Linked DNA regions of Arabidopsis thaliana. The protein of the gene in region 3 purifies or fractionates together with the protein of the main gene of each other region. This does not show direct contact. Each region holds a gene or a part of one and is shown on either strand. Other genes may lie near its edges. The genes, in order: AT2G42520, FKBP53, CDKC;1 and AT3G58510.

What was found.
Region 1: the proteins of CDKC;1 (region 3) and AT2G42520 fractionate together in Arabidopsis thaliana (co-fractionation; one large-scale study listed by BioGRID). This does not show direct contact.
Region 2: the proteins of CDKC;1 (region 3) and FKBP53 fractionate together in Arabidopsis thaliana (co-fractionation; one large-scale study listed by BioGRID). This does not show direct contact.
Region 4: the proteins of CDKC;1 (region 3) and AT3G58510 fractionate together in Arabidopsis thaliana (co-fractionation; one large-scale study listed by BioGRID). This does not show direct contact.

The regions. Positions count from the first base shown.
Region 1 is NC_003071.7:17,702,559-17,710,591, reverse strand, and holds AT2G42520 (P-loop containing nucleoside triphosphate hydrolases superfamily protein), read right to left. Parts: upstream 5,852-8,033; 5' UTR 5,729-5,851; exon of another isoform or gene 5,558-5,728; intron 5,395-5,557; exon of another isoform or gene 5,326-5,394; 5' UTR 5,211-5,325; coding exon 4,455-5,210; intron 4,369-4,454; coding exon 4,285-4,368; intron 3,963-4,284; coding exon 3,720-3,962; intron 3,048-3,719; coding exon 2,880-3,047; intron 2,736-2,879; coding exon 2,622-2,735; intron 2,385-2,621; coding exon 1,848-2,384; 3' UTR 1,532-1,847; downstream 1-1,531. Other genes in the region: COR15B (cold regulated 15b), read left to right, coding at 719-915, 1,173-1,401; AT2G42510 (survival motor neuron interacting protein), read right to left, coding at 5,974-6,289, 6,429-6,644, 6,724-6,865, 7,252-7,281, 7,649-8,033.
Region 2 is NC_003075.7:12,958,288-12,965,340, forward strand, and holds FKBP53 (FK506 BINDING PROTEIN 53), read right to left. Parts: upstream 4,485-7,053; 5' UTR 4,346-4,484; coding exon 4,333-4,345; intron 4,249-4,332; coding exon 4,175-4,248; intron 4,052-4,174; coding exon 3,804-4,051; intron 3,697-3,803; coding exon 3,554-3,696; intron 3,284-3,553; coding exon 2,980-3,283; intron 2,885-2,979; coding exon 2,717-2,884; intron 2,516-2,716; coding exon 2,293-2,515; intron 1,921-2,292; coding exon 1,833-1,920; intron 1,727-1,832; coding exon 1,685-1,726; intron 1,608-1,684; coding exon of another isoform or gene 1,592-1,607; coding exon 1,543-1,591; intron 1,452-1,542; coding exon 1,370-1,451; 3' UTR 1,062-1,369; downstream 1-1,061. Other genes in the region: AT4G25330 (SAWADEE protein), read left to right, coding at 22-238, 320-396; SHB1 (EXS (ERD1/XPR1/SYG1) family protein), read right to left, coding at 5,095-5,197, 5,275-5,411, 5,502-5,933, 6,014-6,058, 6,138-6,242, 6,334-6,592, 6,677-6,797, 6,888-7,017. UniProt on the Arabidopsis thaliana protein: PPIases accelerate the folding of proteins. It catalyzes the cis-trans isomerization of proline imidic peptide bonds in oligopeptides. Histone chaperone possibly involved in H3/H4 deposition to the nucleosome.
Region 3 is NC_003076.8:3,219,835-3,227,119, forward strand, and holds CDKC;1 (cyclin-dependent kinase C;1), read right to left. Parts: upstream 4,955-7,285; 5' UTR 4,841-4,954; coding exon 4,728-4,840; intron 4,549-4,727; coding exon 4,467-4,548; intron 4,340-4,466; coding exon 4,249-4,339; intron 4,148-4,248; coding exon 4,118-4,147; intron 4,026-4,117; coding exon 3,916-4,025; intron 3,827-3,915; coding exon 3,754-3,826; intron 3,681-3,753; coding exon 3,560-3,680; intron 3,444-3,559; coding exon 3,326-3,443; intron 3,020-3,325; coding exon 2,880-3,019; intron 2,799-2,879; coding exon 2,741-2,798; intron 2,589-2,740; coding exon 2,518-2,588; intron 2,392-2,517; coding exon 1,881-2,391; 3' UTR 1,659-1,880; downstream 1-1,658. Other genes in the region: RABH1e (RAB GTPase homolog H1E), read left to right, coding at 157-273, 447-517, 719-807, 946-1,057, 1,135-1,225, 1,324-1,467.
Region 4 is NC_003074.8:21,637,773-21,645,410, forward strand, and holds AT3G58510 (DEA(D/H)-box RNA helicase family protein), read left to right. Parts: upstream 1-2,205; 5' UTR 2,206-2,277; exon of another isoform or gene 2,278-2,505; intron 2,506-2,729; 5' UTR 2,730-2,835; coding exon 2,836-3,567; intron 3,568-3,662; coding exon 3,663-3,746; intron 3,747-4,133; coding exon 4,134-4,376; intron 4,377-4,644; coding exon 4,645-4,806; intron 4,807-4,898; coding exon 4,899-5,012; intron 5,013-5,188; coding exon 5,189-5,692; 3' UTR 5,693-6,023; downstream 6,024-7,638. Other genes in the region: PP2A-4 (protein phosphatase 2A-4), read right to left, coding at 74-157, 272-328, 1,047-1,139; AT3G58520 (Ubiquitin carboxyl-terminal hydrolase family protein), read right to left, coding at 6,149-7,127, 7,228-7,505.

The DNA.
Region 1 (8,033 bases), on a different chromosome or scaffold from region 3:
TTTATCAAAAAAAAAAATATTAGGCATTGTAAATAGCGTTTTTGCTGTTGAGCAAAATAGTTATATTTGAAAGTAACATTGGTATTTATAATTATAGTATAACAATTAGGCATTGAAGTGTGAGTTTTTGTTTTTGTTTATTTAACATTGGAGTATTAGGTTCTTAGAAATATATCTATATACTATTAGTAGTTTAACTACAGTTTGTACTTAATTGAAAAAATGTTAAAAGTTGTTTTAACCTAGCTAATTGCTAAAAATGACTAAATAGACATACACAAAGACTTGTACATTTTCAGCTTAACGACTAATACATTTTTCCTTTATATATATATCTCTATCGAGTCTAGTTATTAATGTTGAAAGTTGCAAATAAAACAGAAATGCTAACATGTAAATATCGTAGCCAAAAATGCTAACATGTGTATAACGGTTATAACCACAACTTGATGGCCGACCTCTTTTTTCTTTTGGTAACCATAGAAATGGTTACACGTAACTAGTACGAACCAACGAAAACTCTTCTTATTCGATAGTTAAAGATAATAGCAATGCGCAAAAATATCTAGCACTCACACGTGTAGTTTTGGATTCTCATTGGTCGAGAGATCTATAAAACGATACTATTGGAGGTTAGATTTTTCTCATCTCACTTTCTCCATCTTAAAACTCTTTCTTGTATTTATTTTCCTCCCAAAAAACATCTTTAAGAGTCCTCATGGCGATGTCTTTATCAGGAGCTGTTCTCAGTGGCATGGGTTCTTCTTTCCACAACGTAGGAGCAAAGCAGAGTGGTGTTGGTACCGTCAGAGTTGGCCGGAAGAGTGAGCTCGTCGTCGTTGCTCAGCGCAAGAAGTCGTTGATATACGCCGTTAAAAGTGACGGCAACATCCTCGATGACCTCAACGAAGCCACGTGAGTCTATATTCTTTTCTTTTAACAAATTTTCTCGTGACTAAGGCTATCTTCATGTGTACTCGCAAAAACTCTCATATACATTACGTACTCGCCATGATAGTTATTTTATTTTGGTTAATCCCATCATAACAGTTTTATACATACTATAATCAACTATAATGGCCTTGTTGAGGATTGAGTTTCCATGGTGTAGATATATGTTTTTAAAATCGTTTGTCAATAATGAATCTTAACATATATATATATATATATAGAAAGAAAGCTTCTGATTTCGTGACGGATAAGACGAAGGAGGCCTTGGCGGATGGCGAGAAAACAAAAGACTACATTGTTGAGAAAACCATTGAAGCCAATGAAACTGCGACTGAGGAAGCTAAGAAAGCTTTGGATTATGTGACTGAGAAAGGAAAAGAAGCCGGAAACAAGGCGGCTGAGTTCGTAGAGGGTAAAGCAGAAGAGGCTAAGAATGCCACAAAGTCCTGATTCAACCACTCATGTAGTCATGTTCAATAGTTTACAATAAGATCAGTTTGTTGTAATTTCTTTTTCACCATTTGAAATGAAGAGCTGTTAATTACTCACTAGCACATTTTAAATACGTATCAAATGATTTAAATATAAACTACATTTTAGTGACTACAAGTAACATAGTAGTATTTATGAGTTGGATTCGGGAAAAATCTGTCAAAATCTTCTCTCATTTTGATCCTCAATTATAAAGAAACTGTGAAACTGATGACTGTTTTTATGACAACCCCTAATAATAGCCTAAAAAGATCAAAACACCTAAAACATCAACAATTGTTATATATCCATCTCCTGAGTGAAATCTCATAGGTGTAAGGGGCAATACATACTCTCTTTGTGAATGTAGAAGAAATATTTTTTTTGTCAAAAGTTGTAACCAAAACAAAAAGAACATTGGAAGCTTAGTCCCAAGCACTTGGAGGTTCTCCACCATATCCACCACTTGAAGCACCACCATATCCACCACCATAGCCTCCTCCGCCGCCATAGCCTCCTCCACCACCATAGCCTCCTCCGCCGCCATACCCTCCTCCTCCACCGCCATAGCCTCCTCTACCGCTACCGAAAGACCCTTCCCTTCTAAAGTCACGGCCACCAAATCGACCACCAGACCGCCGGTTCTTACCACCACCAAAAGAGGACCGTGACGCATACCGAGTGAGCCACTCAGGGACTTCTTGGTTAGCTTCTTGCATCAGCTCAGCGAGCGGTCTGGCCAGTGAGGTGTTGCCATCGTTGAAGAAGGCAGTTGCTAGTCCTGATTTGCCAGCACGTCCTGTTCGTCCAATACGGTGGACATAGTCATCAATGTCATTTGGCAGATCGAAGTTGACCACATGAGCCACGTGGGGAATGTCAAGGCCACGTGCTGCTACATCAGTTGCAACCAAAATCGGTGTTCTCCCACTCTTGAAGGCTTTCAATGCCACTTCTCTTTCCTTCAATGCATATATAGCAACACAATAACTTAGTTCCTAACACTTATTGATAATGATGATCAAAGAGTGCATTTCAATAGTTTTTCCTTCAGATTTTGACTTATGTTTAAGCTTTAGTTCAATGAACTATATTTTAACACGAGATCTTCTCTTTGGTCTCAATAATGAATTTGTACGACTGGATTTTGATGTCCACATTAACATACAACATTTTCAGCTTTAAGTTGAATAACAAACCTGCTGTGTTCTGTCACCGTGAATGGAGGTTGCTGGAAACCCATTGATGCACAACCAATTTTCCAAAGAGTCAGCTCCTCTCTTTGTCTCCACAAAAACTAAGGTCAGGGCTTGCTGAAAATATGGAAAGAATACAATCATCAGAAAGTATGAAGGAGCATGTTGAAATATTGAGGCAAGACCAGCTACTTTGGTAATAAATCATGAACTAAACAATAGATGATTCCTTCCAAACAAAAGAGGAGTATCAGTTTGTACCTTGCCTTGGATGCCATTCTCTCTCTGAGCGTGAAGCAGGTCCATGAGATGACTTCTTTTGTCAGAGTCAAGGACAAACTCAACCCTTTGGACAATTAAATCGGTACTTGAACCCACTCTACCCACAGCCAAAAATATATAATTTGCTAGGAAGTCAGCTGCGAGTCTCTGCACATGAAACAATACAATCTTTTAAAATTTGCAAGTGATTATGCAGAAACATTCTATATTATGCAGCTTAATCAGGAAACAAAAGTATGAAACTTCATTAATCTAAAGCTTGCCATAATAGGTTCACCATCATCCATTAATGAAGTGGCATATAATCTTCTGACACATAGAACTATTAATACCATGTCAGTTAACTGGCATTGACCATCGTTTTATAAAAATGGATAAATTTACCCCTGCATAGCCTAGCTAGAATAATAGTAGGACTAAAAGTCATGTAATCAGCTTTACAACAAGAAAACCTCTCTCAGAAAAGATATAACCTCTGCAGAAACCATGCATATAGCTTTGTATATACTATTCACATACACTTTCAGTTTAAGTTGGACATTTCTTTTTCCCCCTCATTTTTTTCAGAGGACCAAATGGATATAACTGGACACAGAAGGTTGTTACGACAAAACCCCAACATAGAAAATGTAACAAGCAGATAATTTGCAAGGAAAAAGTATGGAACACAAGAATCAACACACATGGCAAAGAAACTTAAATAAAAATTCGGAGCAAGGCAGGGGTAGTAGTCAGAAAGTGAAGAAGTTCACTAAAAATGATATTTCAACCAATGAGAAGGTGAATAAAGAAAAAGTGATTTACAGACAAGTAACCAACCTGAATTTCTCTTGGAAATGTAGCACTAAACAACAGTGTCTGTCTAACTCCACGTGGAGGCATGTCCATTTGTTCGACAATCTTTCTAATTTGTGGTTCAAAACCCATGTCAAGCATTCTATCGGCCTCATCAAGAGCTAAAAATCTAATCATCTGCATTGAGACTCTAGCTCTCTCGAGCAAATCATTTAATCGACCAGGCGTTGCCACAAGAATATCGACTCCCCTCTCAAGTTCCCGGAGCTGCACAAACAACAAGACACAAGATCAACATGTTGACTTTTGAAAACAGATTAAGTAACACATAGATACAGCTACGACATATAGCAATGCTTCTGCATGTCATATATTGATAAATCCTTAATATAGAAAAATGCTGGCTCCAAACCAAAACATGCTTTTAACTAAGTTAAGCAGCCTTAGAAACGAACATGCTTAACCCAAAACAATCAGCCTAAGAGACGACACAAAACAGACAGCAGTGACAGACGCATGAAACAAAACTCAGAAATCAAAAGTTCAAACAAAAAAGTAGAAAAAAACAAACTATTTGCTCATTACATACCTGCTGGTTAATAGGTGTTCCTCCATATGCAACAACCACCTTCACACCAGTTTGGTAAGAGAACTTTTTAGCCTCATCATGTATCTGCCAAAAATCATTAGAACAAGATATGAGAAACTAACTAACTTCTACCAAAGCGAAGAATCTTGACATCAGAAGAGAACCCCAACCTGACTTGCCAACTCTCTTGTTGGTGAGAGAATAACTGCAAGAGGGTAGACTGTTCGTGAACCACGGGGTCTCTGTACATGCTGATCTTTCATTATTCCACTAATGATTGGAAAGCAAAAAGCAGCTGTCTTCCCCGACCCTGTCTGAGCACAGGCCATCAAATCCCTCCCTTCAAGCAATATCGGAATCGCATGACGCTGAACAGGTGTTGGCTTAACATATTTGCATCTACGGATATTTAGATTCAATGCCTCCCCGAGATCTATCTCTGCGAATGTGTTAACAGGAGGAGGCACATTATCCCCACTGGTCTCAATCGGAATATCTTCATAGGCATCAAAATTAATAACCGTATTATCCTGCTCAGTAAAAGCTGGTTCTGGTTCGGAATCATCATTTTCAAAGGGGTTTACTTCACGTTCCCTACGGTCCCACCCTCCGCTTCTGTTGTTCCAACCACCACCTCCTCGTCCACCATAGCCAGAGCCAGAGCCAGGACGACCTGCATCAGCCCTATAACCACCACCACCTCCAACACCAACACCACTACCACCAGGAGCCCATCGAGAGCCAGAAGGTGGACCACCATAACCTACACGATCATTAGCTGGCAATGGAGCAACAGGCTCAGAAGCTGCTGGCCTGTTCCTTAGATGTGGAGGAACATAAGCAGGTCGTGAAGGATGAGAATTCTGATTAGAAGACCCAGAACCCGTGTTCTCTGAGTCAGCTACATCAGCCCATGATGCACTCATAATCGAAAAGTATAACGTCGTAAAAAAAAAACTAGCTTGCAAATCCTTGGATATCAACAATCAAATTCTCAAAGCTCCTCCCTTTAGTTTATAATCTTCAATAGAATACAAAAACCTGGAAAGTTACAAGATGGGTTTCAGTTAGAACAATAGCACTCCACGGATATCAATAGCAAGCAGCTAGGAACATCTTTAAATAACGAAGCCCTATCAAAACCTCAAAAAACATCATAATCGAATCGACCGAATAACAAAAGTCCAGTCTTCGGAGAAGAGCATATAATCAAACGAAGAATATAACAAGACAAATGCCAACAGAATCACGCAAAGAGAAGAACAATGTTCACCTCAAAAAGGAATAACAAAAACAAAATTTGCAACAAAGAGTAGCAGATAACCCTAGCTACAGCTCTCGAAATCAATCAGCGTAAACCCAGAGATAGAAGAATCCTCAAAACACGTCCCAAAAAATCGAATCGAAGAAATCAACGGTAAACCCTAAAATTCCTTTGAATTACCTTTTGGTATCGGAGACAGAGCAAGATACAAATGCGCAGAGCGATAGAATCAATAGAGAGAAAAGAGAGGTCGAGAGATATTTTTTAATTATTTTGACTTTTTTGTTCTTCTCTTATCAAACCAGATTGCGTCCCGTTTTCATCAATCTTTCAACTTGCGTGTCGGTTTAGTTTTCTCGTTCTGGATTGTATGTCGGCGACTTATGTTGAACTCTCTTTCTTTTAGTTTTTAATGAATTTAAAATTTAAACTGTTGTAAACACACTTCTCCTCTCATTCCATTTGGCCAAAATATCTGCCTGCGATGGTGATGAGCATATTTGCCATAATGATAACTTGTTCATCTCCAAGACTCCAACCTCTAACGCACGAAGACTCGCACACTTTCTCACAAGAGCTCTGAGACAAGCACTAGTATCAGCATCCGGAGGAGTGTCCACTGATGCACATAATGCTACTACCCATTTGCAGTCGCTACTCTCTAAACCGCTCTCCTTTTCACCAAACATATCCGCTTTCTCAGCTTTGATACCCGTGTCACTGAGTCCATTCCTTGTATCTCTGAAACCATCCCACCAAATGACTCATCAATGTTTGTGTGGGGACGTTTACTGAATATCTCCATGAGTACATCTCCTAAAGACTCGTTGCCATTTTGTTTTAAAGCCTGTGAAAAACCCATAAAACTTAAAGTCATTACTTGTCCGTTAAGAGAAACACTGATAAGTATGCAAGTTGGAAGAAAGGAATACCAGACGAATGTGTGAGAAGTCGGAAAGCAACGAGTCCTCCCATTCCTTCACCGGTTGCAGGTGCTCTGGGAATTTGTGGCATGTAAACACTTTGCTCTTTCTCTCTGTACTTGCTTCCACTTACCTTGGCTACTTTTACATTTGGAATTCGCTTAGCCTCCCACCTTAAATGATGGAAACAACTTAACCATATATGCCTAAATGCAGATACACAGAAAGATTGAAACAGAGTGACATATATACCTGACTCGTCTTAAATATTCAATCCCGTCTTCTGGTGGTCCAGAATCGAAATCAGGTTCTCCATCCACAGCAAACGCAGGCCTCAAAATGCTATTGTAATCGTCATTATCTTCAGTTTTCTCCTCTTTTACAACATAGTCTTCTTCAAGTAGTTAAGTCATCAATTCCTTGCCTAAATGTTCTCATGAAGAAACAAAAAGTCACATTTTCTTGGAATCTCAGTTTTGATTTCTATTGAAGAAACCAATAAAAACAAAGAAAAGAACTAAGCCCATCAAAAAGATTTAGCTTTCAAAGGTATTGATTTTTATTGAAGATGTATGAACATGTACAACTTTTTAGCCGATAAAATCATGGCCATACACACTTTGAACCAAACAAACTCTCTAGACCCCTTTAAACAATCTGAACTAAAGAATCTATATACAGAAAGAATGTATTGTTTCTTAGAAAAGGAAAAATTGGTGAACACAGGATTTATGAAACACAGGCTTCGACAGATTTCTTCAGGTCAATGTACAAAGAGACGGGTTCGTCTTGGTACAGCCGATATGGGACCTGTGGAAAAGAAAACAAACGGCCCCTATCAAAAAGATACTTAGGAACAACCACTGCTGAAAGAGTCGCAGACACTAAGCCCGACTGGATTTGTCACTTTGAGATGACCATTAGAGAAGGAAATCACCATAAAACCGTAGCAAAGAAAAAGCCATTTGAGTGACACACACAAACAAAAATGCAGCAGATATAGCTTAAGGTTATACATGAGCTAAGTAATCTTAACTTGGAGTGACATATTTCTATTAGACCTAAAAGTTTCCTCAACATGTTCAACTAAAAACAGGCAACACCACAAAATGCAGCAGCTAAGATAAAAGTAAAGTAAGTGGAGGGTTACCGAGGATACTCTTGTGATTCTTCAAACCTTCGTACTCAGTCACCAGCTCAGGTAGGAGTCTAGCATACAAGTCACTCCACAGTTTCTTCTGATTCGCAATGTGGGCATACCTCATCGACTCCATTTGGTTCCTAGAGTACATTATCCGCAACTGCTTCCCATTCATTTCTCCACTGTTACGAAAGTCAGAAACTTTGGTTGACGCATTCCTTTCAACAATGCTAGAAGCATTTCCCTTATCAATCGGTTTCTCTACTCCAACTTTCTTATGCTTTCTTGGTGCATCCTTATCAGTGTGTGCAGTTACTGGTCTCTTAGAATGATCTTTACCTTTCTTGTAGAAAGGAACAACATCAAACAACGCAGTATCATCAACCAAATCAATATTCACAGATCTTCCAACAAATGCATT
Region 2 (7,053 bases), on a different chromosome or scaffold from region 3:
ATACGGTTTTTGTGTATATAGGTGGAGAGGACGAAGCATGAACGAGACGAGGAAGGGAACGAAATTTGTGGATGTGATTTCAAACTTTTCTGGAAACAAGGTCCTTGGATTAACCAAGTGACTACTGCGAAAGTTGGAGATATTTGTCTCAGAGCAAAGGATAATCGAATAAATCCAAAAGTGGTTTCGTTCTTGAAAGAAGCTAGAAGGAAGCTTCATGGAGAAACATGTAATCAAGGTAATTTATTACACTTATCTTTCTTTTGTCTTATGATTAAAAACTTACTATGTAACGGATTAGTGTATATGTGTGAAACAGGGGAAGAGACAGAGTGGCAAAAGATTCTTGAGAAGGTGAATTCTGCTATTCAAAACAACTTAAGCGTTGATGGATGATTATGTTATGTTGCTTAGTGTGTTGCAAAAAAAAAACTGAATACTCTAGTTTGGGGAAGTCTCTTAGTTCATGCCTATCACTCCTTGTTTTTTTTTTTCTTGTTGTTGAAGTCCTTGGTCTGAAATATATATGCTTGATTTAATTGTGTTGATGAACATCACATAAGGTTTTGTAAACAGAGGCATAATTGATAATTACATTTGCAAACTCTAAAGTTCACAATCATAGTCCATCAAATACTTAGGAGCCGAACATCAAAAATGAGAAATTCCAATTCTAAAAACATTAAGATATCAGAAACCAGAGGCCCGCCGTAGAGATTGCCATTGCGACGGAGAATAATGGTGACGTATGGTGGATCATCAATGTTACAAAAATAAAAAAATAAAAACGGGTCAAAAGGTCAGAAATAACAGTAAAAAAGAACTTGCAGAACAAGAAATAGGTCAAAGTCTTTCTGACGGTACAAAAATGACAAATTCGTCACGGTGATGATGGTGACGTAACTGTACCTGAGAGTAGAGAGACCTTGATTAGAGACTAGTGAGAGAGACTTTCCACAAATGAATCATTGAATACTAACTAATGAAGAAGAAACTATAATCACTTTATTTACACCAAAAAAAAGGGGTATTATTTACATTATTCAATTGAACGGATTCACGAGTCGGGGTTGTCGTTGCTATAAAATCTGGCTTAAAGTTGATTGGCCCCTTTTTGGGTTCAAGTCCATCTACTATGTAAACAGCATTTGTATGATTCCAATTTTTGGTTTTTAAGCAAGTGTAAAATAGGCCAACAAAAGCTATCTGGAAGAGGAAATCTGGGAAACAAATGCTATGGTCTTATCACTTGAAACACAAATCCATTTTTCAAAAAGATTCAAGTGTTAAAAAGGAAAGAAACAATCTTTTGCAGCTACAACACCATTCAGAAACCCCTCATCAGAGATTCTATGAATTCAGGGCAGTTTTATTGAACATTAATCAGTTCGACATCAAAAGTCAGCCAAGAATTAGGAGGAATCTGGCCACCAGCACCCTTCACACCATACCTGGGAGCCAAACAATATTATCATCCCATTAAAAAGGTTTAACAAAACATTGCTAATTCAAAATAACATAAATCAAAATGAGTTTACTTACCCCATTGATGGAGGAATTGTAAGCTTCCTTTTGTCACCAACGCGCATGCCTGTGGAATTCAAAAACTTGAGATGAATACAACACGATTCACTTTTTGAACAAAGTTATAAGTAAAAAAACAGTAAGAAATTAAGATATATACCATTAACTCCAACATCCCATCCCTTAATGACTGATCCAATACCTACACGTTACAATAAGAACATAAAGTATCACTTACACCAGCAATACACTGTAATTCTCAACCAATTTCCCAAGCTATTATCTTTGAATCTAGTTATAATACCAACCTAGACGAAACTTAAATGGTGATTTTCCAATGTTGGAATCGAAAATCTTCCCATTCTTCTGAAGTTTTCCAATATAGCGCACAGAAACCTGCACTCAGAGACAATAGAATGAGCTCCAAAAAGATTTGGGAAAACACACAAATACATTGATGCACTCTAATAGGATTTTGGATTCAAACCAAGTTCACAAAGACAATTAGCCAGAGTTAACCACAACTTAAGGGTTTGAGTGTTTGTAGGTTTTACAAGCCATTAGTTTGTTCACTTCCTATTTAATGTATATTCTTTGGTGCTCTTAGGTCTAAGTCTAACAAGGTATTACTTTGCTCACTTTCTATCTAGTGTCAATTCTTTCAACACCCACATTCTTATCACACTACCACCTTGTTGCATAATCTATATGAGATTGCAGTAACCATATGATATTATGTGTGCAATTTATGACTTTAAGTGTGCATACCGTTTTTCCAGGATCAGCTCTCTTGCCGTTGGGTTTTCCCATGCTCAACTCTTCAACAATGAGCCCATTTGGGTATGTCCGTACTTGAGAAGACTTGGAGTCCGCTGGGGTTTGCTTCTCAACAGTACCAGAAATTTCTGCAGCTTCGTCACTTGGTTTCTTCTTTTTCTTATTTTTAGTTTTCTTCTCAGCAGATTTATCTGGGGTCTTGGAGCTTTCACTCCTGCAATAATACCATAAAAAAGCACAGACTTTTGTTAGGAGAAAAAGTTTGAAAGAACCGCTGTATACTCATAAGCGTTTTTTACTTTGTGATCTATGTGAGTAATAATTCAAATACTTACTTACTGATATTTCACAAATGACATAAACACAATCTGTTATCACCAAAAAAGTTCTCAAATCAAGAAATAAGAGTTCTCACATGGCATTGTTTGCAGTTCCATCTTGAGCTTTTGTGTTTGAAGAAATTTGGCTAATATCCTGCTTCTTCAGAACATTTCCCGTCTGAACTTGTCCAGCTTCCTCATTTAAGACATTTTCCCCTTTCTTCTTCTCTTTCTGATTTTTCTTCTTTTTACTCTTGTTTGCACTGGAACAGATTTTAGAAACAACTTCGTATCCCCACGATATATAAAATATGTGAACTCTGTCCTCAGAGTCAATAGAGAGCAAAGAGAGTAGTACCTTTCTTGTCCATCATCTTGCTCAGCAGCCTTGGCCTTCCGTTTCTTGTTACTACCTTGTTCGTCATTATCTACAACCATCTTCTCACCTGACGCATTCTCTACTTCAGATGATTTTCCTTTAGGAATAGGTAAACCGTCTTCGTCTTCATCTTCGCTTTCCAAAACTGGAACATGGGCACCCTCTATGGCAACGATTTGTTTCTTTGCATTCTCACCTTCGCTAGCTTGACTCTTCTTCTTGGTTTGTTTTGCCTTATTATCTTTGGCAGGTTTCTCTTCATCTTCTATCTCCTCAATTATAACTAGCAAAGATATCATTCAGATTAGTTTTAACAGAACAAGGAAAGATCAATCATATAAACTATTAACACAAATGTAGAACAGGATCAGCACCAAGGAGACACACTTGTACAAAAGCTTAAATTTACGGACATACATTTGAAAAGTCTTTTATCAATATCTTTTTGAAACCTTCTAGTTATAAGACAAGAGTGACGAATCAAGCAATCACACTAAGCTAAAATGGAAGTACTAAGATGCAATCTGATAAGGATCTCTGTAAGAAAAAGTACCTCCACTCTTTGGGGCAGCAGCATTCCGATACCTTTCAAGATTGCTATCAAGGAAGTCTTCAAATTCATCCAATTGCTCATCCTCTTCACTATCATATTCACACGAATCGTCTTCCTCAGACTCACCAACATCAATACCATCTCTATAATATAGTCGCAATGAAAACATTAAGATTTCTAAACAGATGGAATAATAGAAAAACAAGAAAGCATTATTTGCTAAAGTAAACTAGTAACAATGAAAGGATACGAATCATCTTCATCATGCTCATAATCATCTTCATCGTCCTGATAATACTCCAAGAATCCAGACAAGTGGATACTTCTGTCACCAGTCACGGTGAATTCCACTGGCTCATCATCATCGTCAAACTCAAGATTCAGAGGGCAACATTCGATTTTGTTTGGCAACAATGAACACAAAGCAATAGGAGCCTTGTCTCCTATTGAACACTGAATCACACTCTTTTCTTTGCTCAAACCCGTACCTAGAGTTGCCTGAATGATGGCAAAACATACATACATCAATAGATATATCAAACATATTCAGATTCCAAAACTAGACTACACAAATATACAATTCATATCCCAAATCAGCTCGAAGGAACAAGAGTATAGTACCTGGGTCACGTGAATCTTTCCTTGTTCATTTTTTGGATTATAAGCTTGAGGCTTCCCAGGTTTCACTTCAAGTCCTGCATATGTTAACAACACAAAATCAGAACCTAGGAATCATGCTCCGGGAAAATCAAAGAAAACACTGAGCAGAGAAAACTAACCCCAGAATCCCATTTTCTCAGCTAGGTTACTCCTTGGAATCGAAGCGGCAACTTTGTTTCTACAGACTAAAACCCTAATCGAAGGTTTTTAGCAGACGAGCTTTATATCGAGATTAAAGCGGTTTCGAGAAATTTCGACAATTTGTGCAACCGCGCTCTCAGTTTGGGCCTTAACAGACTTTGAAATTCAATGAAGCCCCAATGAAGCCCCAATGAAGCCCATATATTGGTCTGTCATAAATCGTAAAGTAAATGGTATTGTCAAGATACTCTTCATATTTGATAACATTTAATTTGTGTTCATTATTTTACTAGAGTTAATTTGAAAAAAAAATCTATAATTTTCTCTCATGTAAACGCAAATTCAGAAATTTTGTTTTAAATAAAACAATATGAGACCTATCTTTCAACAAAACAATACAATATTGAGACCTAAACACACTGTACAATGACGTGAGTTTCTATCTTTCTTGTCAAAATCTGAAGTAAGTGTACAAAGTAATGTCTTTTTGTTGTATGTAACCAAGTTAGTTAAGTGTTTGTATCTCTTGTTACCAAGGAACGAAGAGATTTCCACTTGATTTCTCCATAATTCTACCATCGCTTAGGTCTGACCCTGAGAGTGAGCCAGCCTCGAGTTGGCTCTCTGAAGAATACAGCGGAGAGGCAAAGCTCGATCGTTACAGTTGTATACCGGAACAGCGGTGAAAAGTTTAGTTGTTGTTTAGGTAATTTTGTGAAACCAAGTATTTTCTTGTTAAGCTAATTGTTATGATGATCTCCATCTTCTTCGTAGTTGAACGGTAACGGGACAGTTTTGAACGCCCTGTATCTCCCAACGTTGTTCAAATGCTCATTCTCCAGCCTAATCAACAATTACATTTCATTAGTTTTGTGTAGATTCATGCATGAAAACACCATCTTCTCAGTCTCGGAGCTTACCTAAAGAAGTTCCAGATACCTCTGCGTATGATCTCAAGGCAAGCCATAAGCGCGACCATAGTTTCTCTATGCAAGAAAGAGAATTTCAGATCCAAAACTGTTTGCAACCACACTAACCTCAACAAAACATTCAGGACCTGCCAAGTACATGAAGCAACAATCTTCACCATATATGTATAAAGAAAAAACAAAAACAGAGGTTATTGCTGTTTTCTGTTTGCTCTCACCATTGCAGCGTAGTACACGGTTTTGTGAGGAACAAGAAGCTTGTCTCTCAAGAAACTATTCTTACATCCTCTTTGAAGCAATCCCCAGTCAAGAACAATGTCCCAGTAAGTTCCGTAAAACGTTGCAACTCCTGAGAAAACCCAAGCTGTGATATTCCAGTTGCTTCCTCGGTTTAGAGTATAAGCTGTTCTAAGAGAAGCAGCAACGATGGTCAAAAGGTATTTGATGCCATTGTAGCCATGACTCAGATCTCTGTCTTCCACCATTCTTCGGATGCACTGAAGAAACCGTAACCAGTAAGGTATAACGGCGACGATGAAGTAGAATGTTCTGAATCCAATATTTGATGTGCAGGTGTTTCGTCGTCTATATCTGAAATCTCCAAAACCATAGTAGCATATGTAGAACTCTAGACTCCTCAGTGCTTGAACCTAGCATTGATTGTTTAAATCAGAAATCATCGATCAAAATAAGTATGAAGCTATCTTATCGAGTATAGATTTTCTCGAACCTGGCTTGTTAGTTGATCTCCCAAGAAAAAGTCCGGAAGATGCACCTGCAAAAATGGAAGACATTCTTCTTAACATTTCTGTTTATGCTTCAGATGAATGGAGAGGAGGATATGTTGTTGGTACCGCGTAAAATGGTGCAGCAATGCAGCGGAACAGAACCGAGAGGAAGAAGAATCGGCTTGACCGATACAAAATGTTAAAGGGGCAGAGAACAATGATAATCACTAACTGCAATATGCAGAGAAACGAGTCTTACTAAAAACAAAGATTGAGTTGTGTAAAATGTACTGAGAAATAGAGAGAGATAGAAGGAACTTACTACGAGAAGAAAGAGGGGGATAAGTTCGGTGACTAATCTGTAATCTTTTGTTTGAGCATCCATTTCCATGTCAAGGTTTAATAAGACAGCACATAAAGAAAGTGTACCAAGACCAAAGCTGAGAAGTAGAACATGTCTATAACCAAGTTCAGTGCCTTGTTTGAATCCAAAGATGAAGGAGTAATTCACACGGTATCGCCTCCAGAAGTAGATATTAGCAGCGTACACGTCCATGTGCAAAACTACAAACCCAAAAAACCTGCAAATGAAATGTATATATCTCAAGAATATTACACAGAGACAGAGATAGTGTGTTTGGTTTATATTTGGTCGTTTTACTGACCTGTAAAGAGGGAACATTGTTTCCATATAAGTTCTTTGTCCCGGTGTACCCATGATATTACGAGCATGGATGATCAAACCCAGAGCTACAATGAGAGAAATACCACAGCCGAAAAAGAAGCCTAAAACAAAACAAAAAACAGAACAAAATGATGAATTACTCTTGAAAATACATGTCAAAAGATTGGTTATTGTAGTGTTGATATATATACCGGTGGAAAACGTTATAAGATGACGTTCTTTATTTATTTTTGGTCTTAAATGGCTCATCCCTTCCCTCCGATTTGAATTGGAGAAATGTTCAATGAAAATAGATTCAACCTTTAGCAACAACTTATGAACCTGCACATGTTTAAAGCTTCAAACTAAAGTTTCATG
Region 3 (7,285 bases):
GTATTTTTGGTTGATGTTAATTTTCGTGGTTGGCGGTTACAATGGTGAAGCCATAAAAACGCGTCCAATCTCAAACCTCACCTGAGAAACCGCAAAAGTCAGATCTATTACCTTACATTTTACGGTGGAAGAACATTTGATCTCAAATCGGGAAAAATGGCGAGTGTGTCACCATTAGCAAAGTACAAGCTCGTGTTCCTTGGAGATCAATCCGTTGGCAAGACCAGCATCATCACTCGTTTCATGTACGACAAATTCGATACCACTTATCAGGTTGGATCATTTTCTTCTATCCCATCTCGATCAAAATTAATTTTGATCCATTGTCTGTGAGATCCACGATCCTGTTGCTGTAATGAATGGATCAGATTCAGAATTGCTAGAAACTCATAGCATTGTGTTCATTGGATCAAATTCTGATATTAGTTATGGTGTTTTTGTTGCAGGCAACCATTGGAATTGATTTTTTGTCAAAAACAATGTACCTTGAGGATAGGACTGTTCGTCTCCAACTATGGTAATTCAATTCAATATGCTCCTATCTTTTGATCTAAAACTTTTCACCTTTATCAAATATATATCTAGATGAGCATAATCTTTATTGTTTGGTATAATGTTTGAATGGAACATCAAAATGTCCATGGAAATTCTCAGCATTGTGTATCAACCATGTTCATTCTTTTAGTTATATGTCATTTTGAATCATATTACTGTGCAGGGATACTGCAGGACAGGAGAGATTTCGAAGTCTAATACCAAGTTATATCAGAGATTCTTCTGTTGCTGTAATTGTCTATGATGTTGCAAGTAAGGCTTCTTCTGTGAGAACTTTTCAGCTTTACCATCAAAGTTTCCTCTTTTGTGTACAATCTACACAGGATCCTTCTTTTTGCAAGGATGCTGTGTAAAGTCTCATCTTTTTTGTTTTGTTATTTTAATGTATAGATAGGCAGTCATTCTTGAACACATCCAAGTGGATTGAGGATGTTCGTACAGAGAGAGGTAGCGATGTCATCATTGTTCTGGTTGGTAACAAAACAGATCTCGTCGACAAAAGGTAAGAAACACTTGACGAGAATGAGACATGGAAGCTTTTTCTATTTAGCTATCCAACTTGATATTTCCATTTGACAGGCAAGTGTCGATTGAGGAAGGTGATAACAAAGCTCGTGATTATGGAGTAATATTCATTGAGACCAGTGCAAAAGCAGGATTTAACATCAAGGTGAGAGATGCAACTATGCTCTCATTACTCGTTTAAGATCTTGAGATTTCTTGGAATAACGCTTGGCTTTCTTGTTCTGGTGTTTTGGAAACTTGCAGCCACTTTTTCGCAAGATTGCAGCAGCGTTACCAGGAATGGAAACACTTTCTTCAACGAAACAAGAGGATATGGTTGATGTGAATCTAAAGACTTCGAGCAATTCGGCTCAAGGGGAGCAACAACGAGGTGGTTGTGCTTGTTAATCAGTTTTAAATATATACACAGCAGCAGAATAGGAAGATTTTTAAACGAAAGATTCATAATTTTATGGAACAAATAAATCCTGGTATGAGGAAAGGTGATTACACTTGGAGACTCTAGTTTTTCTTTGGAGAGGTTTTGTTTTCAATATAGAGTTGTGTAATAAAGACGTCTGAAAGCTTATGAAGAAGAATGGCATGTTTTGCTCTGTTCTCATTGCTCATTTCTTTTACATCACACACTGTCAGTCTCCATCTTGACATTACTAGAAAATGTTTGGATAACGAAATAAGACTTGGAAAGAATTGGGAAAAGAAAGAGATTCAGTTTCTCATATTAATCTATTATTAGTTTATTACTAGTATCACATTAAATGTAAGAGTAAGATATCAGATCAACAAATCATTAGAGCTCTTTACTGTTGCCATCCGTATTGCTGGTTTCTCTGATTCTGCCCTCTTCCCGAGCTACCAGAGCCACCATACTGACCACCTTGTGTGTAGTTAGGAGGTCCAACCCCGTACGGGCCACCACTAGGCCCTCTAGGACCAGCCACATAAGGAGCTCCACGTCCTTGTGGAGGATATGATCCACTGCTGTAACCTCCTCGGCTTTGATTATAACCCCCGCTCTGGTTTCCGCTAGGAGGGTAGCGGTTTGGACCAGGTGGACCACGCGGCTTCCCATAGAAGTTGTGGCTGGGTCCAGCAGGTACTTGTGGTGGTGCGTTGTTAGTGGGATGGTTTGGACCTGCAGGCCAATGTGGAGCAGCATGAGACTGTCCACCATGTTGTAATGGGGGTAAGCGAGAGTGCTGCAGCGGTGGATGCTGCAGTTTCTGTCTTTTTGCTGCTTCCTCGTTTTGGCGCTGCTGTTGCCGCTTTTTCTTTGTCTGGAACTCATGTGATGATTCATATGTGGGCAGACTGTTGAAATGAAACCTTAATTTAGTCAGAAAAAATTCCCCACGATCGCCTGTCTAATAAGCTAGATGATGATGCACCAGATGAGTTTCATGAACTTTGTCAGAGAAAATCAGAATATACAAATACCTCTTTGGGTCACATGGCAACGGATCAGTCCAAAAGTACTCGGCATCAAGAGCATCCTTTGCCGATATTCTCTACACAGGGGAAAGAAAAAAAGGAGACATTAAATATCTAAATGGTGTTAACAATGTCCTGACTTGAAGAGGTATGTTTCATCCAAAAAACAGTAAAAGACAGTTTTTAAGAAAGATAATTCGCTGGGAATAAGAATAAAGGTCTCTGATACCTGTGCTGGATCAAGCACCAACATTTTCTCCAGTAATTCAAGAGCATGCCGATCAAAGCTGTACAGAAGAGAAAGTAAAGCCAAATGAAATCTTCTGATCAAAGTAAAGCGGAGATATATAATGGTTTACTTTACTTACTGTCTGAAGAACTCTCTTACACGCCTCTTCAAGGGCCGTGCAGGCTTGAAATTGTTGAACCAAGGCATCTTGGAAACCCCAGGCCAAAGTTTTTCATCAGGTGATCCACAAAGCTCAAATATCTTGTTCAATTGTTCTTGCTGAAACAATGTAGGAGATGGCACATATTTTTTTGAGATTATCAATAACATGTATACATAACTGCGTCTATACCATTTTGTATACATGATATAATGCAAAGAACCTAACCAGCCTCCCACGGTCCCAAAATAAAAGTGCCGATAAATCTAATTCTAGTTAATCCCTTAGGTTTTCTACTCCAATGATATCACAATGCAACCAGGAGACCATGTAGATTCTTATATTATTAGTGGCACGAAAGCACACTGTCTTAACATCTGAAATTTTCAAAAGAACTGCGCTTTCAGCAAAGATGAAACGCTGACCTCATTTTTCCCAGGTAAGATTGGTTTTGCATGCAAAAGTTCGGCAAATATGCAACCAACCGACCACATGTCAATTGCTGGGCCATATTTTGTAGCCCCAAGTAGTAATTCAGGGGGCCTGCCGCAATATATGTAAATCAGCAAAGTAGTAATAACAATGAATTAGCAAAGACCATAATATTAAGACTATCTATGTATATCATGTAAACTTTGAATGACGATTTTTAGGCTTACCTATACCACAATGTGATGACACGATTTGTAAGATTTCCAGTATGATCATGAGAATACGACCGTGCAAGCCCAAAATCAGCCAGCTTTAAATTTCCCTCATTGTCGATAAGGAGATTTGAGCCTGGATCAAAATCTAGGTTAATATGCAAGTAAAGGTGATAACCAAACATCAACATTGTATTAAGGAAAATCACCTTTTATATCACGGTGAAGCACTTGATTCACATGACAATAGTGAAGCCCGGTAAGCAATTGCTTCATGTAACACTTTTAAATGGATTGAGTGTTAGAATAAAGTTGAACAATAAGTATGAAAAAGGCTAATAGAAGTAACGAGCTATTTAGCCGTGCAATACCTTAATTTGAGGAACAGTAAATCTCAGTCCAGGACGATCTGCTAGTCCAGTCAAATCATGATCCATGTACTCAAAAACCATGTAGATGCCACCCTTGTATTTGTTATTATCTATAGGTGAAAAAGCCACAACCTTTAGTTAAGAAGAAATCCTCAATAAGCAGAAACTAAGACAGTAGTTGAAATCACTTTTTTTCACAAACCTGGCTTTCCTTGGTCATCCCTGTCCCGACCTTTTAAGAGACAGAACCATTCAAAACACAAAATGTTTAGACCTCTTTATATAGAAATAGCTAACTTAATTCAGTGCAACATATGTGTTCCTTAAACAAACCTGGTGAAGTCACAATCTCTTTCAGCTGAATGACATTTTCATGATGAAGCTTCTTCAGAATCTTTATCTCTCTAATAGCTGTTATAGGAAACTGCATCATACCAGTTGTAAACAATGGGTTACAATTCCTATCGTAAACAAAAACTTGCATCTGTTCTAAACATAGTGAGCATCATAAAAAAAACGTATAGTCCATATAAAGTGAAGAATTCACATACCCCTTCTCTTTCATTGTCCATACGTATCTTTTTGAGAGCCACAATTTCACCAGTTTTGATTTCTTTAGCCATGTAAACTTGACTGCAACAGCAAAACAACAACAATCAAATCTCCTAAAAGCAACACAACATAGGCATTGTAAAAGCCTAATCATACAATCAAAAATCGCTTCAAAGGCCAATAATTTATCAATCCCAAGTAAAAATTAAGCCTTTTGAATAACCAAAGAGTGAAATTGAATTAAAGAGAAAGTGAATAACCCGTAAGTGCCTTCACCAATTTGTTCGAGCTTCTCAAAGCAATCAACGCTGCGAGATCCCCAGATTGGAGGAGGTTCCTCGAGATTTAGCTGCCCGAATGATGCCATCGCCATCTTCGTTCCCGGGAGTCCCACTGTCGAACAATATCTTTTACTCCGATGATCAAATTACGTCTTTCTCGATCGCTTTCCTTTTCTCTCAGACAACTCTCTCTCCGTAGGTTTCCCAGCTTATTTATGTAATTAGCGTTTCGGTTTAAATCTATGAATTGTCCGGTTTGAACCGGTCTAACCCTGAACAAGCGGTTGGTGTAAATTAGCGATCATCCGTTAAATTTAAATAAAATAATGAAAGAAATATCAAATATCATTTTTATTGACCGGTTTTCAAAAATACCACAACAAAAATAATCTTTTCAAAAGTATTTATTAAAATACAAACTCCATTTTTTAAAAATTGGAATTATGGGATTATGTTTCTTATGTATCTTTCTCATCATAAAAGACTTGACAACAAAATTGTTTAACATGCCAATGCCAAGCACACTCACAAGTCACAAAAAAAAAAAACAAATTGCAATTACAAAAATCATACATTAATTGTTCTATAAAGTAAACATTCATACATTTTGATTAATATTTATTTTTCAAGCTTAGATATATTATAAAGAAAGAGAAAAACTAGTGGACACTCGAACGCCCTAGATTTACTGCTCGAGATAAAATTTGATTTTCGTAAATAAAATTGGAGGCGAATTTGAGAAATCCCAAAAATAGCGGGAAAATTAAGAAAATCACTTAGGTTTTCCAGTGGGTTCACCGTCTGTGACAAGAGGTGCGATAGGAACAGATTACTCCTGAAGTGTTAGCGTGCTTATCACGCCATTTAACCGTGTACACGACCATTCTGGTTCAAAGGAAGAACGAGAACATTCGAATCTCGACCAAACCCTAGATCTCGGTTTCTTTACCTACAGGAAGACACGATTCACTATCTCCCTACTCATTGTCAAACCCTAACATCGGCTATTGGTCCTAACTCCTAACTCACCCGATTCAATTTAGGTTTCATGCTAACATCGGTGAAGGACGGTTATTTCGGAAGTTTGATTTTGGTGTGGGTAGGTCTAATTTTGGGTTTTGTGATTTCTAGGAAAATGTTTCTCTATGGTCATTCACTTGAATCAAACCCTATACATAAATCTTCCCTTCTTTTGTTTCGTATGGATGATATTTCTTTTATCTCTTATGAATCATGCTAGGTTTTTTTTCTTGTAACCGATATTAGAGTTCGACTTGGGCGATGGGAAAGATAGATAAGTATCTTAAGTATGTGCTATATATGTTTCTTGAACTTGATCCGTTGATGTTTTGGTTTTGTTTAAGTTTGTTGGTCCACAATGATATGAAAGATATATAGGCTTTTTCTTCTTAGTTTTATGAACTTACTATATATATAGGGAATCTGACTGATGGAAGTTTCAAAATGAACTAATGATAAAATAATGTTAAGACTATATATAAACAATGTTCTCATCCAATCCACTGTCTGTAGAAGAAATTGACTTGCATATTTGGTTCATATTCCACAATGGGGTTGAGATATGATCCTACTTACTGATTTTTCTGTCTGATGGTGTAGTTTTCAAGCTAACCAAAACATTCCTCTTCCAAGCTACTTTCTTCTGTGGGATGATGACTACGTAGTGGAGTTGTTCTACCATCTCCTACTATTCTGGTGATTTCAGTGATATTTTATTCTTGTGTTTCTTAATTCAAGGGAGTGGTCAGCCATTTGTGACTTCTATGTCCAACACGTATAACTATCCCACTTTCTGGTCCATAAATGATGCAAAGCAACACATATTTAAGTCTACATTGGCAATGAGAAGCCTCTGTTACCATGTTTCAGTTTCAAGCTGTAGGAGTTTGCTATCGAAGGTCAGCAACCAGAGTTCAATTCAGGTATCTCATCTCCTCTTGGGGTAGCTAGCAAAACTGCAGGATTCTAAGTTGTAATAATTCTGATGTCTTGTTGTTGTTGTTGTTGTTGAGTGCTGCTTGTTAATGTGTTGATTCACATGTTTGCTTCATGTACAAGAGAGTTTTCCAGATTTTTTATCATCCTAATTGTTAGAAAACTAAACAGTTGAAATAGCAAATTAGCAATGATCTAGTCCATGAGAGGATTTACCTAATATAATCTATCTGAGGGTATAAGTCAAAGGTATTCTGAAAGATCTATCTGCCCACAATATTATATTGTGGAAATCGTCAAATTTATAGACTTTTATGCAAAGTTTTATTGATTTTTTTTTTTGGTAAGAATTATCTTAAGTTGTGGTTGGCATCTGCAATCGTTGTGTTGTTCACATCCATCAGTCTACAGTTTACTAACAGATTCTAATCATGCATCTCAAACTGTATCATCATTTGTTTAGTGTTATTATTATTTTTGGATGAAATTCTTAATTTGTGTTTTTCCGTGTCTCTGAAAAAGATAGGGACAATTGTGAAGCTCAAAAGAATAGGTTAGTGTTTACTTAATGTTAAGTGCTA
Region 4 (7,638 bases), on a different chromosome or scaffold from region 3:
AGAAAGGATTGATGCAGACTAAATAACAAAACATGCATCTTTATGTCCATTGTGCAAGAGTTATAGATGTTACCTTTCCCCCAATACGGAAAAGCTCTGCAAGATCATGGAACTGTCCATGAATATCACCGCAGATTGTCACAGGGCTTTTAACAGGCTGCATACAGTAAGAATATAAAAATTAAGGCTCTTTAAACCAAATGATTGTTTAGTTACACAATCTACCACATGGGTTTTATAATTGGCACGAGATGCAAGATCAAGAACTGACCTGAACGTTGCTTTCATCCATTAAGATCTCCTTAGCTTTCTCACATAATGCTCTGACCTAAAGCAAATAAAAAAACACTGCACATAATAAATTCATCTTTCCCCTCTTTTACTTCCTAGAGAAATACAGGACTAACAGTATTATCCAGTTTAACATTAAAATGTCAAATTAGATACACCAATTTGACACAAGCAACAAGCACAAAGATCATCTACAGCCAAGAAGACTTTTTTACAGCTACTGATCAGTTTTTCCCTCGATATTAGCTTAGAAGAACTTTTATCGAATTGCAACCTCTCTCTCAACTTCAGCTAAATCTATTATCATTTAAGATACATTCCCCCAATTGGAAAATCCAGTAATGCATCTAACTGATGAGATTTTAACTAGCCAATCACCTAATCAAAAGGATACAATTTTGGCTGTGGGTGAGACAAATCCACAATACAAAGCATATTGAAATGCGAGCTAATCGCCTATTCAGAATCCAATACAGCCAGAAATCATTAAGAAACAAAAAAAAATGAAATCCATTTCTATCAACCCGTAAAACTGACGTGAAATGAGCTCTACACCTATACTAGAAGATCCTTCTCGAAGAATCAGATCATCATATACTCACAGAAATAATCCACCCTTGATTTGAAACAAAATCTGAGATCTAATCACCGAAATGGCCCAAAGTTCACTCGAAAAACTAAATTACAGATCCAATTTTAAACGAAGAAAACGAAAAGGTGCGAGGAAAGCTATATTCTAACACAATCACAGGCACCTGTTGCTCGGAGAGAGGCTTGCACTGCATGAGCTGCGAGATCTGCTCATCTAGATCGAGGGTTGCATCCGTTGGAAGCGAATTCGCGCCCATGTTTTTGGTAGTGCGTCGTCGTCTTCTTTCCTTCAAGTCGGATCCGGAAAACAGATCAGAAACGAGGCAAAGGTTTCCAGATTAGGGGCAGCCCTAACCCTAAATTGGATGGATTCTGCGTATTCTTCGCTTTTTTCTTTCTCTCTCTCTCTCGCCTTCGTGTGCAGAGTGAGAGAGGAAATCAAAACAAAGGGGCGCGTGAGGTAAAGGGGCGAGTGGGTTTGTAGCTTTCGAGCTGTGTCTTGATTTGACCATTATATCCTCCTCGTTGAGATCTAAATGATAAATTGACTAAAACACCCTTTAGTTTTCTTATAAAAGTGTTTAAATAGGTAATACACACAAAATTTGTAAAGTAGTTTTATTTCTTTTAATTAAACACACAAAAACTATATAAACATACAATACAACTATTGTTTTGAAGAATTTTTCATTTTTAACAAACATTTTAGTTTTTTCTCAAAAAACTATAATCTAAGTAAAATGTGTTTACATAAGGGTCTAGCTATGGGAAAATACATTATCAACTATTTATTCATAGCTAATGAAATGTAATTTTGATTTAGCCAAAACATCATTTTAATTAAAATTTGAATGGTTACAACATAAAATTTTGACCAAAATTTATGTGACATATATATTTTTATTCTCTCTAATGATGCATACTAAAATTTATGAACGATGAATGTAAAATACAAATTGATTTGCTCCTTCATGAAAAATAAATTTAACCAAAAAAAAAAGAAGAAATCTCTAATTATTGACAATTCATGAGAGTCCGAACATAAAAATAATATTCAAAATATAGGTTCATGAAAGATTTAGATTACTCTATTTTTGGAAATAAATATGGTTTGAACTTTTTTTTACATATAAGTTGAATCGTTTTTAAGTTAGATACAATTAAATTCAGAATAAACAATTTTAAAGTTCTAAAGATTTAAGTGTAAATTTGTTTCCCCAATAATTATTGTATATATGTTTTTCTCAAACTCTTATGAGTGTATATAATTAGATTTTAAATCAATTCTTAAAATATAAAACAAGCTAATCTCATTATCATACCATATTTTTGGCTTAAGGTCATTTTGAAGATTAATAACATGTCTATTTTATCGCGTTGTGTCCGATCCAGAAGGTAAACATCGAATTTAGGGTTTTTCTCTCCCCCGAGCTTGCTTTTCCGTTGGGTGAACGACTACCGTTGATTTTCTTCGTTTTTTTGGATACCGATTCGATTCTCTCTCACCGATTTTTGAGGTTCTTTCTCTATATCCTCTCGTTTTTTGTTTCCGCCTACGTTTATCTCTCGATTTCGAGCTGTATCAACTAGCTAGGGTTCCTTAATTGGTTTATTTCGTTTGAGGTGATACTCCTTTCTTCTTCTGTTTGCGTGATACGATTCTAATTTGCTTGCTTCGCTTGGCGTTCCCTGGCTGGGTTCTCTTTGTTTCTCTTCGTCTTGGTAGATTTGATTTCGGATTTTGGGGGTTTCCTGCTTATGGAGTTCGATTTTTACATTACACAGCTGCTATTGTGATTTCTATGATTGCGTTTGTGCTAACTATTGACCTATTTGGTATTTGCCAGGTTCTCTATTTTTCGTGGATAAGAAGATAAAGTTATTGTTTATTGATAAGTTTTCTGCTGGGAAGTTGCAACTTTTTCTAGATTTAGGACGTTACAAATTTCAATCATGAGTGCATCATGGGCAGATGTGGCTGATTCAGAGAAGGCCGTTTCTCAGTCAAAGCCTCCTTATGTTCCCCCACACCTACGGAACAGGCCATCAGAGCCTGTTGCTGCTCCTTTGCCACAAAATGATCATGCAGGGTATGGTGGTCAACCAGCTGGGTCTCGTTGGGCTCCTCCTAGCAGTGGGGGTGGTGGTGCCAGCGGCGGTGGCTATAGGAATGATGGAGGGCGCACTGGCTATGGTTATGGTGCTGGAGGAGGAGGTGGTGGTGGTGGTGGCTGGAACAACAGAAGTGGAGGGTGGGACCGTAGGGAACGTGAAGTAAACCCATTTGGAGATGATGCTGAGTTAGAACCGGTCTTTACAGAGCAGGAGAATACTGGCATTAATTTTGATGCCTATGAAGATATTCCAGTTGAGACCAGTGGGGGAGACGTGCCCCCTCCTGTTAACACATTTGCTGACATAGATCTTGGGGATGCATTAAATCTGAACATCCGGAGGTGCAAGTATGTGAGGCCAACACCGGTACAGCGTCATGCTATTCCAATACTGCTTGCAGAGAGAGATTTGATGGCCTGTGCCCAGACTGGGTCTGGGAAGACTGCTGCTTTTTGCTTTCCAATAATTAGTGGAATCATGAAAGATCAGCATGTAGAAAGACCCCGTGGTTCACGGGCGGTTTACCCTTTTGCAGTCATCCTCTCACCAACAAGGGAATTGGCATGCCAGGTAATATACACACCAACAAGAATAGAGTTTCTTCAGAAAGAAAAAATGTACGTGTATATAATATACACATTTCTCATTCTGTGATTTTCTTGCAGATACATGATGAAGCCAAAAAATTCTCCTACCAAACTGGTGTGAAGGTTGTTGTTGCTTATGGAGGAACACCCATTCACCAGCAGGTAATTATCATACACTTTTTTGTTTATTGGTTTTTAGCTTGTCATTGGAGTTTGGATTTTGCTACATGATTCTAGCACTGTTTTTTGTTTTATGTGAGTAGCAGCTTTCGCTTACTGATTTGAGTTCTGCTAGCTCTTTCCTTCCCAATGCCAGTCTCCTTTGTCAACATATGTTCTGATTTTGAAGTCAGCAATGCATAATGTTGGCGAAAATCAAATCTTGTATTACAAATTTTTTCATATGCTAGTTAACATTGTCGTATCGCTTGTATCATCTTTACATAACATGCAGAAGCATTGGAATTTTTAATCCTTGTTACAGGTGTTAGTTAGTCAAACAGTTTTCAAGCATCGATTTGTTGACCACATATTTTATTGTTTATTCAGCTCAGGGAACTCGAGAGGGGATGTGATATCCTTGTGGCAACTCCTGGCCGGTTAAATGATTTGCTTGAAAGAGCTAGAGTCTCAATGCAGATGATTAGGTTTTTAGCTCTAGATGAGGCAGACAGGATGCTGGACATGGGTTTTGAGCCACAGATTAGAAAGATTGTTGAGCAGATGGACATGCCTCCACGTGGGGTGAGACAGACAATGCTGTTCAGTGCTACATTTCCAAGTCAGATTCAGGTTGGTTTACTTGTCCATGAAACACCTTTTTCTTGCTCTTAAATTCTATTCTAGTGAAGTAGCATGGTAACAAAGAACAGGATAACAGTGTTCTTGGATTTATGTCTGTAACTCTGTTCCTTCCCAGATCATGAGGTGAATCTTTGATGATTTAGTCTTTAGAGTGTTATATTTCTTATGTGAGAACAGCTGCATAATATTCAGCACGCACAAGAATGATTGGTTCTTAACGTTTCTTTTAATATTACCGTATTTGTTTCCTGTGCAGAGACTTGCAGCTGATTTCATGTCAAACTATATATTTTTGGCTGTGGGAAGAGTTGGTTCAAGCACTGATTTAATTACCCAAAGGGTTGAGTTTGTCCAAGAGTCTGACAAGAGAAGCCATCTCATGGACCTGCTTCACGCGCAAAGAGAGACCCAAGACAAGGTAATGCATTATTTACCATCTGTTCACTTATCCAAGATTTATTATCACTGAAGCTCTGACTAATTCTGCCTTTCTTCACTTTTTATACACAGCAATCATTGACATTAGTTTTTGTGGAGACAAAGAGGGGAGCTGATACTTTGGAAAATTGGCTGTGCATGAATGAGTTTCCAGCAACCTCCATTCATGGCGATAGAACACAACAGGTTCGTTGATTGAGTTAAGTTGAAATTTGGATAATTGTGCACACTAAAGCTAAAACCAAACTATAGAAACAACCTCGATGATATTACTGAAATGAACTCTTTAAAGATCATCATCAGTAAGTTGTTCTCTGTTGACTCAATCTGATTGACTTCTTTATGTTGTTATGAATTCAAAGGAAAGAGAAGTGGCACTGAGGTCCTTCAAAACTGGGAGGACACCTATTTTGGTTGCAACAGACGTGGCAGCACGTGGTCTTGACATTCCCCACGTGGCTCATGTTGTAAACTTCGATCTACCAAATGACATTGATGACTATGTCCACCGTATCGGACGAACAGGACGTGCAGGCAAATCTGGAATAGCAACTGCCTTCTTCAACGAGAACAATGCACAACTGGCTAGGTCGCTTGCTGAGCTAATGCAAGAAGCCAATCAAGAGGTCCCCGAGTGGCTCACACGATATGCTTCACGTGCTTCATTTGGTGGTGGTAAGAAACGGTCTGGTGGTCGGTTTGGTGGCCGTGACTTCAGAAGGGAAGGCTCTTACAGTAGAGGAGGAGGCGGCGGCGGCGGAGGAGGCGGCAGTGATTACTATGGCGGAGGAGGCTATGGTGGTGGTGGATACGGTGGTGCTCCAAGCGGTGGGTATGGTGCTGGAGTGACCAGTGCTTGGGATTAGCCAATTAGGCTCCCCAATTTTTCCTCTTTTTAACCTGACTATTTATTTCTTCTCTTCTACATTCCCAAGAGAGCACGTGTATTTGCCCCCACCTTTGAGATCTCTCATTCAAGAGATGGATTTAACTAATCTTGCTATTAGGTGGATCTCTCTGTTTTTTCAGGCTATTTTTAGGATTTGTCCTAAAAGATAGACAGTAGTTTTTCCGATTTTGATCTTGTTCTTGGTTTCTTCTAACAATTTCATTTGTTAGTTTGAAATCCAATTTGTCTTTTTGTTTCCCTTTGTTGTTGACAATCTTTCTTGGTGAAATACAATCTCTCTTTATATCATTTTAAGGACTTTGTGCTTACATTGTTTAAACTCCGTTCCGTTACTTCAAAAAGATAAAATGCAGGTACATAAATTGTTGCTCTGTGTGAATTAACATACAACAATTAGATTCAACAACTATTGCTATTCAGCTTCAGAATCTTCTTCAAGCTCACTTCCTTCCACAATCTCTTCTTCTTCAGAGCCTTCTTCCTCAAGGTCATCCTCTGGCCTATCAAGCAAAAGTTCCTCTTTAGAGACCATGCCTAGCCCTCTCGCCCGATAAAGAAACCCTGTTCTCATCACATGATAAAACTTATCTCGAAGACGAGTGAGAGGATGCGGATCCACTAGTTTTCCTCGGCGATACCCTTCTTTGAGGATCACAGTTGTTGTCTTACACTTCAATGAGAGGTAGAAAATGCCGGGGTATCGCGTGAATAGACGAGTGAACTTGTGCGGAATGTTGAGCTCCGCTCTCATGCTTCTCAAGTAGTTCCTCTTGGTTTTCTTGTGGATAGTCAAGCTCAAGAGCTCGTGCAAAACAGCCACAGCTCGTTTCTCCATGAGATCGCTTTCCGGATCAATGTTACTCGGGTCATCGTAAGGAGATATGTAGGGAAGTTTTTGAAACTCATCCATCCATGCTTTGACCTTCTTCTGTGCTCCATATCCTCTAGGGAAACTCATAGGAAAAGTCAACGTAGACTGACCTCTCTTGAACTCGCGGTATCTAGACTCCTCCCCGGAAACATCATTGTCCTCGTTTCGCTTCTGCAGCGCCGAGAATGCGAACTCATCACGCCATTTTACAAGCTTTAAACACGGGTTACCATTAGAAGCCTTGACGAAGCAGAAATGATCAGGGTATTTCATGACTAGCGTCTTTTCGTAGTTATCGGGTAAACCGAGATCGAATTTGAGAGAATGTAGTGATCTAAGAGAGACAGTTTTTGATCTCATCATCATCAGAACTCTACAGAGTCTCTCCACTGTATCAGCCTCGTGGCTTTGATGAATAATCTCTTCTTGTGAGTCAAGCATTAGTGCTGTGTCCGTTAGCTTGAAACATGGTAAGCTTGCGTAACGAGCATGAGGAAATTCGTGAAACAGAGTCGGATACCTGCAAAAATGTCAAGACTTTCATTACCATTCTTACAAAATTGATTTCTTTCTAAACCGTTTGTTCCAGTAACAATTGAAATTTTCTCTGATTGTGATACCTGCGCAAGAAGCGGAGAACAGGGACGGTGAGACCAAGGAGTTTTTGCCAATCGGCGACGGATTTTGCGGTGAGGAAACCAGTGGGAGATCGCTTTATGGCGTCTTTGAGGATACAAGCTGCTTTGAGATCGGTCTCAGTATCAATGACGTGATCCAGGTTCTTGTTCTTCACCCACTTCAGTCTCACCTTTGTCATTGCACCCATTCCTCGCCATTGTTGATGCTGGTGAAACAGCTTACTCACCGAAAAGAGAAAGCTTTGTGATTTGACGAACATCTAAAGAGATTTGACGAAAGCGCGAAATGTGGATGATCTGTAATTGAGAGTGCAAAATGGGTTTAGGGTTTAGTGTTCTCTCGGAGTTTAGTTAGGACTTATCATTGAAAGAATGAATAGAGAGAAGTAGGGG